2 linked regions of the Cricetulus griseus genome follow. The protein of the gene in region 1 purifies or fractionates together with the protein of each later gene. This does not show direct contact. Links are inferred from orthologs where the notes say so. Each region holds a gene or a part of one and is shown on either strand. Other genes may lie near its edges.

Region 1 (6,074 bases):
CCATGGAGCTGAGGGACTAGACTGAAGGGCCACTCCTCTGGAGAGGAAGCTGAATTCTCAGGTCGGGGTGAGAGTCGGGCTTAGGTCTGTGGAAAATCCCAGCACTGCTACCTACTCTCTGAATGGCCTTGCAATGTGGCTTAACATCCATGTCTCTCCCCGGCACCCGCCCCCCGCCAGACACACACACACCCCTTTCTTTTATATAAAGTAGAACTAAAGATATTTCCTATTTCTCAGGCTAGGGATATAGATCAGTTGGGAAGACCTTGCCAAGCACAAAGTCCAGGATTCAGTCCCACCATCACATAAAACTGGGTGCCAGTTGCAGTCCCACACACCTTTAATCCTAGCCTTCCAGAGTTGGGGAAAGAAGCAGGTAGATCTCTGAGTTTGAAACCAGATTGTTCTACTCAGTGAGCTCTAGGACAGCCCAGCTACACAAGAAACACTGTCTCAAAAAAAAAAAAAAATCAAAAACCAAAACAAGTATAGTGGCACAAGCCTGTAATCTCAGCACTTGAGAGGTAGAGGCCGGAGGATTAGGTGTTCAATGTCACCCTTGATATATCAAGTTTGAAGCTAGTCTGGCATTCTTGAAATCCTGTCGCATGCGTGCGTGTGTGTGTGTGTGTGTGTGTGTGTGTGTGTGTGTGTGTGTGTGTGTGTGTGGGTGGGTGCTTCAGAAATTATTCAGAAGGAAACCCAAGTTTAATCATTTTTAAACCCTTTGTGAGGGATTTTTTGTTTTGTTTGTTTTTGATTTTTGTTTTTTGAGGCAGGGTTTCTCTGTGTAGCTCTGGCTGTTCTGGAACTTGCTCTGTAGACTAGGTTATCCTCCAATTCAGTGATCTCAGTGATCCACCTGCCTCAGCCTCCTGAGTGCTGGATTAAAGGTGTGTGCCACCAACACCCGCCTGAGCAATTGATTCTTAATGCTTAAAGCCATGCAGGTAGATTACTGCTCAGCTGTGGTCATGCTCGTGACCCTGTGGCTGAGTGTTGTCCTCACTGTTCTGCAGAAGAAACTGGGACTTGGGGAACAAAACCCACCTAGCTGGCTGGAAAGGGACAGAGCTAGGATGGGAACCAAGGCAGGCCACTGTCTGGTGAAGCATGGTGCATGCTGTTATGTTATCATCTGGGAGAACCCTGCTGCTGCCTGACAGGGGAGATCAGAAAACAGCAAGGTTGAGGTTTAAGCAGTTGGCAGCCAGGACAGAGCTCTGGATCCCAAGTGTTCCCCTATGGAGGAGTAGGAGGTGTCCTCAGGGAAGACTATCTCTTGCTCACTCATGCCTGGCATGTCAGGGCAGTGGGTGTGTGTGTGTGTGTGTGAGAGTAGTGATGTCATAAGCTTCTCCCTGGAGATGTTTTCACATCAGGAGACAAGAAATAAACAAAGAGACAAATAAAATAACTATATGATTAAGGGACCAGAGAGAGTAGATAGACACAGTGAAGGAAAGAGAAACTGGGGTACAGCTCATATGCAGACAGGGTAGTTAGGGAGCTCAGAGCCAAGGAAGAAGCAGTTGGGGGGGGAATGCAGGGTCCTTAGCAGGAAGAACAAGACAGGCAAAGGCTGTGAAGTAGAAATCAACTTGTGCATCCAGGACCAGCAAAGTCAGCATCACGGGTACCAAAGAAAGGATAAAAAGGGTAAGGAGGCTGGGAGAGGAGAGGGGAGGGGAAGGAGGCTGGGAGAGATGAGGGGAAGAGTGGAATTAGAACCAAGGCAGACAGTTTGCCTTTATTCCCTGTCTACCTGGTGACACTGAGGCAGGGGAGGGAAAGAGACTTGCCCAAGGTCACACAGTAAAGACCTGAAGGATAGGGATCTGTGAGGAGAATCTGGGTGTCATTTGGGGTGTCCCCCTTTCACATGTAGGTCTTTGAGCCAACAGCTCCCATGGGGAGCTTACCATCCCCTCTTCCAGCCTCAATATCCCCACTACCCAGGCCTTTATGGGGGTCCTTCCCAGAGTTCCCACCCCCCCTGTCCTGACACTAGAGGCCCCACTTTTGTCCCTGGGACATATTCAGGTCCCCTTTGTTACCTGAACAATAAGTAACCCAGGTAGTTAGTTATAAACTCTGCAGGAACAAGGAGCTGGTTGATAATTTATAGCAACATCTCGAATTTAAATGGAAAGCAAATAGCACGCTGTTAGCATTAAAGAAAACCAACCTGGGAGGGAGGAACTCCAGCCTCCTCCCAGCTCGGCCTCTCTCCCCTGCCCCTCTCTCCCCTGCCCCTTCTCCCAGCTGCTTGGAGACCCTCTCCCTTCCTGGCTCCTCTGCTCTCTCAGCTCCTCCCGCCCTCTCCCTCCTCATCCTCCTTGTTGTCCCTCTCCTTGTCAGCTTCCAGGACTCTGCTGGCCCCCAGGGAGCACTTTGACCTCTTAGCTGCTTTGGACCAAGCCCCACTTCAGCCTCTACTTCCCCCACCATGGGGCTGCTGATCAAGAGGTCCCACCTACCCAGGTAAGAAGTCCCTTGCCACCTCTGTCCCTGAGCCCCTAGTCCCACCTGGGGCCCCTTGAACAGGTCAGGCCCGGCCCCACCCTATCCAGGTTTCTTGTGCCCTAGGTCTGGCAATGTCTGGCCCTTTGCCCCTCCCCTGCAGCGAGGCAGCCCTTTGCCCTCCTCTTCCTGCCAAGTCAGGGGGCCTGACTGCTCCCCTGCCCCTTGCCCAAGGCCCAGGGAGGTTCCCTAACACTTCCAGAAATGCCGGGCTCCACCAGCCCTCCCCCACCCCAAGCAGGATCAGGACCTTGGACAGAAAAGAGGCTCCTTCCTGAAAGTTCTCCGGCAAACTCCTCAGCCAGCCCTCAGGCCACACTTTCATAGCTCCTGCCCCAGTTCGAGCCTCAGTTTCCCTATCTGTGAAACTGACTTTGTAACAGCTTCGTCTGAGGCTCATCTCCATATTATGGGAATTTAGGCATTATGAAATCCCAACAGAAAGTAGCCATTGGAGAGATATTCGCATGAAAACATGGAGGTTTTGGGAGGAGTGGTTCCCCACAGCCCCCAGGTCACCCTCCCCCCACCCTGGTGTTACCTTTCTCCACCCCCGACTGGGCATCTCCCAGCCACCATCCCTACAAGTTAATGATCACAGGCCTTATCAGAGCCTTTTGCTATTTATAAATTTATAAAACAAAAGAAATAATAAAGCGCATGGGTAATTAGTAACCAGGTCAGCTTTGCTGAGGAGAGGGGCGGCATCAAGACTGGGACCCACCCAGCACTCCAGGAGATGGGGAGCCAGACAACAGATGAGGGGGTATGGTATGGGTAGGCCGCTAAAACTGCTATCCCGACAGGTGGGGGCGGGGGGGGGGCAGTCGTGGCCATGCAGGAAAGTGGTCCATCTGCCTCAGGTAAGAAATCCCCGGTTTACCCAGTTTAAGGCCCTGGTGCGTCAGGAAATCCCCTAAAACCCCAACCTCAGCCGGCCTCCTCAGAAGCTTTCGGGCCCCCAAACTTGGGGTCTGACCACCTAGCCAAGAAGGTGGTATTTGTGAGAGCACAAATGACCACGGTGGCTGAAGATTTCTTCTACCCTCTGGTTGTCCAAGCATTTCTTTGGAGCTTGGTTCCTTTGTCCTCCATTTCAAAGTGACCTCCTGCCAGCCCCTACTTCCTAAGGACCGGGCTGCAGATAGTAGCCCACAGATATGGGATTTATGGGACCAAGCAGAGGAGTGGGTCCGGCAAGAACCCCTTGAGCTCTCTCCCCTCTTGACCGCCAGCCTGAAGGCCATAGCTGCTGAGGACGGGAAGTGGGCCGCTATGGGGACAGGGTGGGGTCCTTACTGCAGAAGCGTCTCCACCACGGCTTTCTGGTGGGCTGCCTCCTCCGGGCTGAGGTTCTCCAACTCTTTCAGAATGGGTGGCGCGAAGTCTTCCCCATCGTCATCCGTGTCATCTTCCGAGCCACGCGTCTCCCCCAGGCCATTGGGCAGCTCGGCCAGGTCCCCTCGACTCCCACCGCAGGACTCCCCCTTGTCCAAGGGAGCATCTCCAACCATCAGGTAGGGCCCTGGCTCCCCCAAGGCCTGAATCAAAGCCTCCTTGCTCAGGCCGGACTCGAGCAGGGCAGTCAGGAGCTCCGTCTGCAGCTGGCTGAGTTTAGAAACCATGGCTCCACTGCCACCAGGCCACGCGGCCCAAGGCCACTGAGCTAGCCGCCTCCCCCACCCACAGCCGGTGTCTACTTGCCGGCAGGCTGGCAGTCACGAACCAGGCTTGCTGCACCCACTGCCCCCCCAAATCCCACTAGTCAAGCCCTGTGGGCACCCCCAACCCCCAACGCTGGCCCCAGCGGCCAGTGAATCAGGGCCCCTGCCTGCTCTGTTTACATTGGAGCTGGGGAAATTCTCCAAGGTTCATATTTATCCGTGTGCTTAGCGAAGGGACTGAACTTTGGACTTCAGCCTTGCAAAGTGCAGGCCTCATGGCAGTGAGAAGACCAGGAGCCATGGCCTGCAATTGGGAGTGAGCAGAAGGGCGGGTGGGGGAGGTGGAGCAGGGGCCAGGGGCGCTGGAATAGAGTTACCAGGAGCCAGGAGGCCTCTGAGAGCAGTCCTGGGTCCCACTGCCCAAGGGTCTCGGTTGGTTTTGGCCCTGGGCGCTGAAGCAGCAGGAAGCTCTGGTCCACTGGACCAGTTCTCAAGGGTAGAGTTAGGTCACATTCCCTCCAGTGGGGTCACTGAACCTCCAGCCAAGCCCAACACCAGACGCCGGGTGGGAAAAACTTAAGACTTGTATCCTAACAATTCAAACTTCTGTGTTAATATCTATGCCCTTCTCATCATTGTATGATCCTGACCCCAGGAGGTGTGTGTGTGTGTGTGTGTGTGTGTGTGTGTGTGTGTGTGTGTGTGTTGTTTTTCGAGACAATCTTACTGTGTAGCACAGGATGACCTTGAACTTCTGATCCTCCTGCCTCTACCTCCCAAGTGCTGGGATTACAGGCCTGTACCACAGCCAAGTTTTTGAAGTACAGGAGATCAAACCCAGGGCCTTATGTATGCTAGGCAAGGTCTCTACCAACTGAGCCACACCCCAGCCCTAAAATACATCTTTTAATTTTTCTTAAGTATGATTTTTCTCCAGTACTACTTAATGAAAGCAATCGATATTTTTGTCTTTTTAAGTGTGTGTGTGTGTGTGTGTGTGTGTGTGTGAGAGAGAGAGAGAGAGAGAGAGAGAGAGAGAGAGAGAGAGAGAGACAGCAGCAGGGGTCAGTTCTCTTCTTCCTCCCTGTGGGAACCCTGGTGGTCAGACTTGGCCACAAGCACATTTACCGGCTGAGCCATCTTGTTGCCTTTTGACACGTTCACTCAGCAGTGTTTAGTGTATCCCAAGCACTGCCTCACGCCACCAATCAATTCAGAACATTTTCATCATCCCAAGAGAAACTCCACATCTTCTGAGCAGCCATGACCTACCAGTCTTTCCTCCCTCTCCCTGCCCCATCCTTCTCCCTCCCCCTTCCCTTCTTTGGGCTTGCCTATTCTTAGCATTCTGGGTTTTTTGTTGTTTTGTTTTTGCATTCTGTTTTCAAAGCTCACTCATCCAGAGTACAAATTTATCCCCATTTATCCCTTCCCTGGTGAATAAAGGGCAATTACTGCACGGAGACATAGCACTTCTCCCAAGCATCCATAGATGGCTTATTATTGCCCCCCCCCACACCTTTTGGCTGAGGTGAGCAATGCTGCTCACAGTACCCACATTAAAGTTTTTATGTGAATGTGTGTTTTCCATCCTTTTGGGTTCTTCATTAATTTTAAAAATATATCACATGGACAAGGAGTTCTAGACCAGCCTGGAATGCATACTATAAAGTAATTCAAGCCAGGAGGTGGTGGCCTTTAATCCCAGCAGGGAGGCAGAGGCAGGTGGATCTCTGTGAGCTTGAAGTCAGCCTGGTCTACAGAGTGAGTTCCAGGACAGCCAGGGCTACACAGATAAACTCTGTCTCCAAAACATACACACACACACACACACACACACACACACACACACACACACACACAATCTGTGAATAAAATAGCAAA
Region 2 (5,888 bases), on another chromosome or scaffold:
GCCATCCAGAGACTGTAGAAGGTGCTGTTTTTGTCTGGTGCTGAGCTCAACCAGAGTCCTCTGGAGTCCAAAAGCATGCAGTCTGGCTCATAAAAGATGCCCACCCTGCAATGGGGACAGCAGTCAGCACTGAGAAACAGAGCCACTTCAGCTACGTCACACCAATGGTCCCGAAAAGACATACCCTCAGCAGAACTCTTTGCTTGGGGTTTTTTTAAAATTGTGATTTATTTTCTAAAGATTTATTTATGTTTTATTTATTTATTTTAGTTTTCTTTCTTTTTTATTTTTATCTTATTTTATTTTATTGGTTTTTCGAGACAGGGTTTCTCTGTGGCTTTGGAGGCTGTCCTGGAACTAGCTCTTGTAGACCAGACTGGTCTCGAACTCACAGAGATCCACTTGCCTCCCAAATGCTGGGATTAAAGGCTTATTTTAGTTTTTCAAGACAGGGTTTCTCTGTGTAACAACCCTGTCTGTACTAGAACTCACTTTGTAGACCAGGCTGGCCTCAAACTCACAGCGATCTGCCTCCCTCTGCCTCCCAAGTATAGGGATATAAGGCATGGGTTTATCCACTTTTATTTTATGTGTTTTGCCTTCGTGTATTTATATACACAGTGTGCATATATGTTGCTAGCAGAGGCCAGAAGAGGGCATCAGACTCCCTGACACTGAAGTTACAGATAGTCATAAGCCACCAGATTGGGTGATGATGGAACAGGTTCTCTGCAAGAGCAGCAAGAGACCTTAACTGCTTGGTCATCTGTCCAGCCCCCAGCACAGTCCTTTGAAGTAACCGGGGAATGTTTTCCATAAGAGCTGGGGGAGATGTGAACAAGCACAGGATCTGAGGGGTGTAAACGGCTACCTTTTTAACTTCTTACTGCTGGATGCTAAACTTGGCCTCTCTGGGTTCCAGGGCCCCTCGGGTCTGTAGCAGGGATAGTGCAAGGTTCTTTGTTTTTGTTTGTTAAAGACTTAAAGAGATCTTTCGGCGCACGCCTTAATCCCAGCACTCGGGAGGCAGAGGCAGATGGACCTCTGTGTTCAGGGCCAGCCTGGTCTACATCCCCATTGTAAGATTCAAAGAAAGATGGAAAGGAGGGGAAGGGAAGGCAGAGACCCTGAATGTGAGGAGAACTGGAAAGTGATGGTGGCCATCAGAGACTCTGGCTCAGAGCAGCCATTCAAATGCAGTCTTCACTCTTTCCTCCCAAACACCGTCATTTTATACGGTCAGCAGCACTCTGGGTAGGAGTACGCCTTGAGACACACCTAGGTGATACCAAGCAAGTTGTGCAGAATTTTGAGCTATTTCCACATGTTACATATTAAAGAAATTTCACATGCCTATGTTCTCAGCACTTGGGTGGTGGAAGCAGAAATGTGTAACAGACTTTCTTTGGGGCTGCCCAACCAGCTCCCAAATCATGGCATGGGGATTTATTATTAGTTATAAATGCTCAGCCTTAGTTTATGCTTGTCCTCTAGCTCTTACAACTTATTTTAGCCTGTTTCTCTGCATCTACGTTTTGCCTCTCGGGCTCTTTACAAACTCTCTTTCATTCTGTGTGCTCTACGCTCATGGCTTGCTCTCAATGTGGCTGGCAGCTGGCTGGCTCCCAGGGTCTCCCTCTCTTTCTCCCTCGTTCTCTTCTCCTATTTATTCTTTCTGTCTTCCACCCTCACCTATCCCTCTACTGGCCCCCTATTGGCCATTTGGCTTTTAATTAGACCCTCAGATGCCTTGGGCAGACAAGTAGAAACAGCCACACATTTTTGCATAATTAAACAAATGAAGCACAAACAAATGCAACACACCTTTATACAGTTAAAGTAATACTCAGCAACATATCAAATGTGACCATCTTTACATAGTTAAGGGTTCCACGACAGAAATACATCAAGTTCCAGGTCAGCCTCAGCTACATGAGACCTAGCCCATTAAAAAAAAAAAAAAAAAAAATGAAATGTCATTCCTTCTTGCATAGGAGAATGTGTTTAGTGTACCTTACTTCACACATATAGACACTTGTATGAAAAATCACTTTAATTAATTTTAAAAAAATATGTTAGCCAAGTGTAATGACTGGTCCTGGGTTGCAGGGGAAAAAAAAATTCTCTAAAGTCATTAGTCAAAAACAATGGACGTTACCAGCAATAATTTTCTGACTTCAACAATTCTACCGTGTAATAAAAGAAAAATTACTTGTTTTAGAAATTCATTATAGACCTTTTACAGGAATATAAACCACGTCTATGACTTACTCATGAGAAAATTTTCCCAACGGTCTCTAGTAAGCGGCAGGAGAGGAAACGGCGCGCTTCGTGCTACGTTCTCCACTAGATGGAGCTGCGTGCTAAAACTTCTCTAACTCACCCCTCCAAACTCCTAGGCGGGCTTCGCAGTAATCCTCCTGCCTCAGCCTCGCTGGGCGCAGGAATTACACGCCACAACGCACGGCCCAAATACTAATGTGCGAAGGAAGAAAATTTGAAATGCCCTCTGTACAGGCGGTGAGAAAACCGATGTGCCCTTCAACAACGGGAAGGAAAGGTAATTCCCTAATTCTTCCTACAGCTCACGACCAAGCCTGCCCGGCTAAGCGGCCACTTAGGGGAGCCTGCCCCGGCCGCAGCTCACACGACGGCCACGGCCCACTGGGCCGCCACTAATCTTCGCGCGTGTGCGCGTGTGTGCGCGTGTGCGCGTGTGTGCGTTCATATGTGTGAGCGTGTGTGCATGTGTGTGCACGTGTGTGCGCGTGCGTGCGCGTGTGCGCGTGTGTGTGCGTTCATATGTGTGAGCGTGTATGCATGTGTGTGCGCGTCTGTGCGTGTTTGTGCGTTCATATGTGTGAGCGTGTGTGCATGTGTGTGCGTGTGTGCGCGTGTGTACGCTCATATGTGTGAGCGTGTGTGCATGTGTGTGCGCGTGTCTGTGCGCGTGTGCGCGCGTGTGTGCGTTCATATGTGTGAGCGTGTGCGCATGTGTGTGCGCGTGTGTGCGTGCGCGCGTGTGTGCGCTCATATGTGTGAGCGTGTGTGCATGTGTGTACGCGTGTCTGTGCGTGTTTGTGCGTGTGCATGTGTATCTGCGTGTTCAGGTGCGTGCGTGTGCGTGCGTGTGCGCGTGTACATGTCTGTGGGTGTGTGCACCTGTGTGCGCGTGTGTGCGTGTGTATGCGTGTGTGCCACGGCCCACTAGGTCACCACTAATCTTCACATGTGCCTGTGTGTGCGTAGGTGTGCGTGCGTGCGTGCGTGCGCGCGCTACACGGGATTGTTCCGGTGGGCGAGCTCATAAACGCCCTCGGAAGCGCTTGGGCGTCTTGTTTTGTGGCAGGTGCCCGCGCGGAGCCGTGGCTGGCCTCGAACTCACGCGCGCCCTCCACGCAGCGCACTGCGCTCCGCCAGGTCTGCGCGCGCAGCCTTCTCGACCCCGGCCCGGTTCCCCGCACCGCGCGCTCGCACTCACCATGGCCGCCCGGCTCGCACCCCGACCGCGCAGCCGCCAACCCGCGCAGGAGGCCGCGCGACCCCGCGCCGCCGCCGCCGCCGCCATGGCCCGGGCTGCCCGCGCGCTGCCTGACGCCGCCCAGGCCCCGAAGGCCCCCGGGGCGGGATGGCCGCGGCGCCGCGGTGCTCGCCCAGGCTCAACTCCCTCGGCCGGGCGAGCAGCCCGGGGCGGGCCTGGCGGGAGTGCGCGGTGGCCGTGGCAGCTGAGCTCGGAGCGGAGACCGCTGGGGACGCGCTGAGACAGTACGGGGACGTGTTCTTTAAATGCCGTGTGTGTGCGTGTGTGTGCGCGCGCGCGCGCGTGTGTGTGTGTGTGTGTGCGTCTGTGTGTGTGTGTGTGTGTGTCTGTGTGTGTGTGTGTGTGTGTGTGCGTCTGTGTGTGTGTGTGTGTGTGTGTCTGTGTGCGTGTGTGTGTGTCTGTGTGCGTGTGTGTGTGCCGTCTGTGTGTGTCTGTGTGTGTGTGTCTGTCTGTCTGTGTCTATGTCTGTGTGTCTGTCTGTGTGTGTGTGTCTGTGTGTGTGTGTGTGTGTCTGTGTGTCTGTGTGTCTGTGTGTGTGTGTGTGTGTGTCTGTGTGTGTGTCTGTGTGTGTCTGTGTGTGTGTGTGTGTCTGTCTGTGTCTATGTCTGTGTGTCTGTCTGTGTGTGTGTGTCTGTGTGTGTGTGTGTGTCTGTGTGTGTCTGTGTCTGTGTGTCTGTCTGGGTCTGTGTGTCTTCTGTGTGTGTGTGCGTGTGTGCCCTGTGTGTGTGCCCTGTGTGTGTGTCTGTGTGTGTCTGTGTGTTAGTCCTTATTATCCTTTTGCAGTTTTTTTTTTTCCTTTGAGACGTAATTGACAATAAAATTCACTCTTTAAAATCCGTGGTATGGGGCCAGGGTTTTGACGCTGTGGTGAGTTTTGATTAAAATGTTTCAGCTTTTAGTTCCCCTTGTATGTTTGTTGTTTTGTTTTGTCTTTGGTGGTGGTGCTGTTTGGCTTGGTTTTGGTTTTTTGAGACAGGGTTTCTCTGTGTAGCCCTGGCTGTCCTGGAACTCACGCTGTAGACCAGGCTGGCCTCGAACTCAGATCCGCCGTCCTCTGCCTCCCGAGAGTGTCACCACAGCCAGGCCATCCTTTGGGGTTTTTTACTAATAACTATTTTGTATTCCTTTCTTGAGCCAGTTTTACTGTAGCCCAGGTACAACATTGCAGAGGCTCTGCCGCCTTGAACACCCGCCTGCCCCCGCCTTCCAGGAGCTGGAGGTTGTGGACATGCACCCCCAAGCCCAGCCCCGCTCTTTTTTTCTAAATTAGCACATTAATATTACCAGTTTGCCAGACATGGTAGCACACACCTTTAATCCCAGAACTCTGGGGCTGAGGCAGACTGATCGCTGAGAGTTACAGCCAGCCTGGGATACATAGGAAGTTGCCGAGTCAGAGCTGCATAGTAAGAATTTTCTTATTTTTATCAGCTTTACGGAAAATTCGGCAAAAGGATATATGTACTAAAGACTTCATTTAAGAATGATTTCGTAATTATTAGCAGTCTTATATCCCAGATGGTCTTAGAAAAAAAATAAAGCCTCAAAATAACCAAAAATGTACACTTCAGTCCTGACCTTTTGTTTGTTTTGTTTTGTTTCTTGATTGGCAAGATGTAACAATCTGAAAAACTCCGGGTACTCTGAGGGCACTGGTCCGACAGCATTGACTTGAAGTAACTTGGGTGACAGTGTGGGTTTCTTTGGGCCTAAGGATGAGGGGCCAGGGGTAGAATTAAAAGAAAAGTCTTATTTTCCCGCAGTGGTGACACAGGTCTTTAATCCCAACACTCAGGAGGCAGAAGCAGGTGGAGGCCAGCCTGGTCTACAGGGCTACACAGAGAAACCCTGTCTCAAAAAAAAAAAAAGGAAGAAGGAAGGAAGAAAACTAAGTCTTGTTTTAGTATCCTCACTGAGTGTTTATGATTATGGAAAATAGTCTTGAGATTTGCTTATTGAAGTGAGGATCCCCGAGGGCGTGGTATTCACCTGGAATCAGCACTGGGAAGGACAGGCAGGAGGAGTTGAAGTTTGACTCCAGCCGAGCTACACCCTGGAAAAGGAGGAGGGAGAGAAGCTGAGAACTGAAAATGGGTTGGTAGGTGACTAACAAAGCCATGGTGCGTCATTCTCCCTCCTTAACACCCGTCTGAAACCATGGCATCTCAAATCTAGTTACAAAGCAGCAAGAGAAAGATGTCTGGGCCTAGGGAAGTTACATCATCATCCAACAGAGGCTCTGTGCGGGTGGCACTCACCAGATGGGCCATGAAGCTGGCTCAGCAGGCGAAGGTTCTTTTGGCCAAGCCTGCTGACCTGTTTGGTCCCCAGGACCCACTGGTGAGAG

The links. Proteins that work in one complex are often made in the same cells at the same time.
Region 2: the proteins of Hnf1a (region 1) and Pcbd2 purify together in Homo sapiens (affinity purification with mass spectrometry; 4 studies listed by BioGRID and IntAct, with this or other methods). This does not show direct contact. The link is inferred for Cricetulus griseus from reciprocal best matches to the Homo sapiens genes HNF1A and PCBD2.

The regions. Positions count from the first base shown.
Region 1 is NC_048597.1:94,547,818-94,553,891, forward strand, and holds the start of Hnf1a (hepatocyte nuclear factor 1-alpha), read right to left. Parts: upstream 4,152-6,074; coding exon 3,826-4,151; intron 1-3,825. UniProt on the Homo sapiens protein: Transcriptional activator that regulates the tissue specific expression of multiple genes, especially in pancreatic islet cells and in liver. Binds to the inverted palindrome 5'-GTTAATNATTAAC-3'.
Region 2 is NC_048596.1:274,714,936-274,720,823, reverse strand, and holds the start of Pcbd2 (pterin-4-alpha-carbinolamine dehydratase 2), read right to left. Parts: upstream 3,569-5,888; coding exon 3,482-3,568; intron 1-3,481.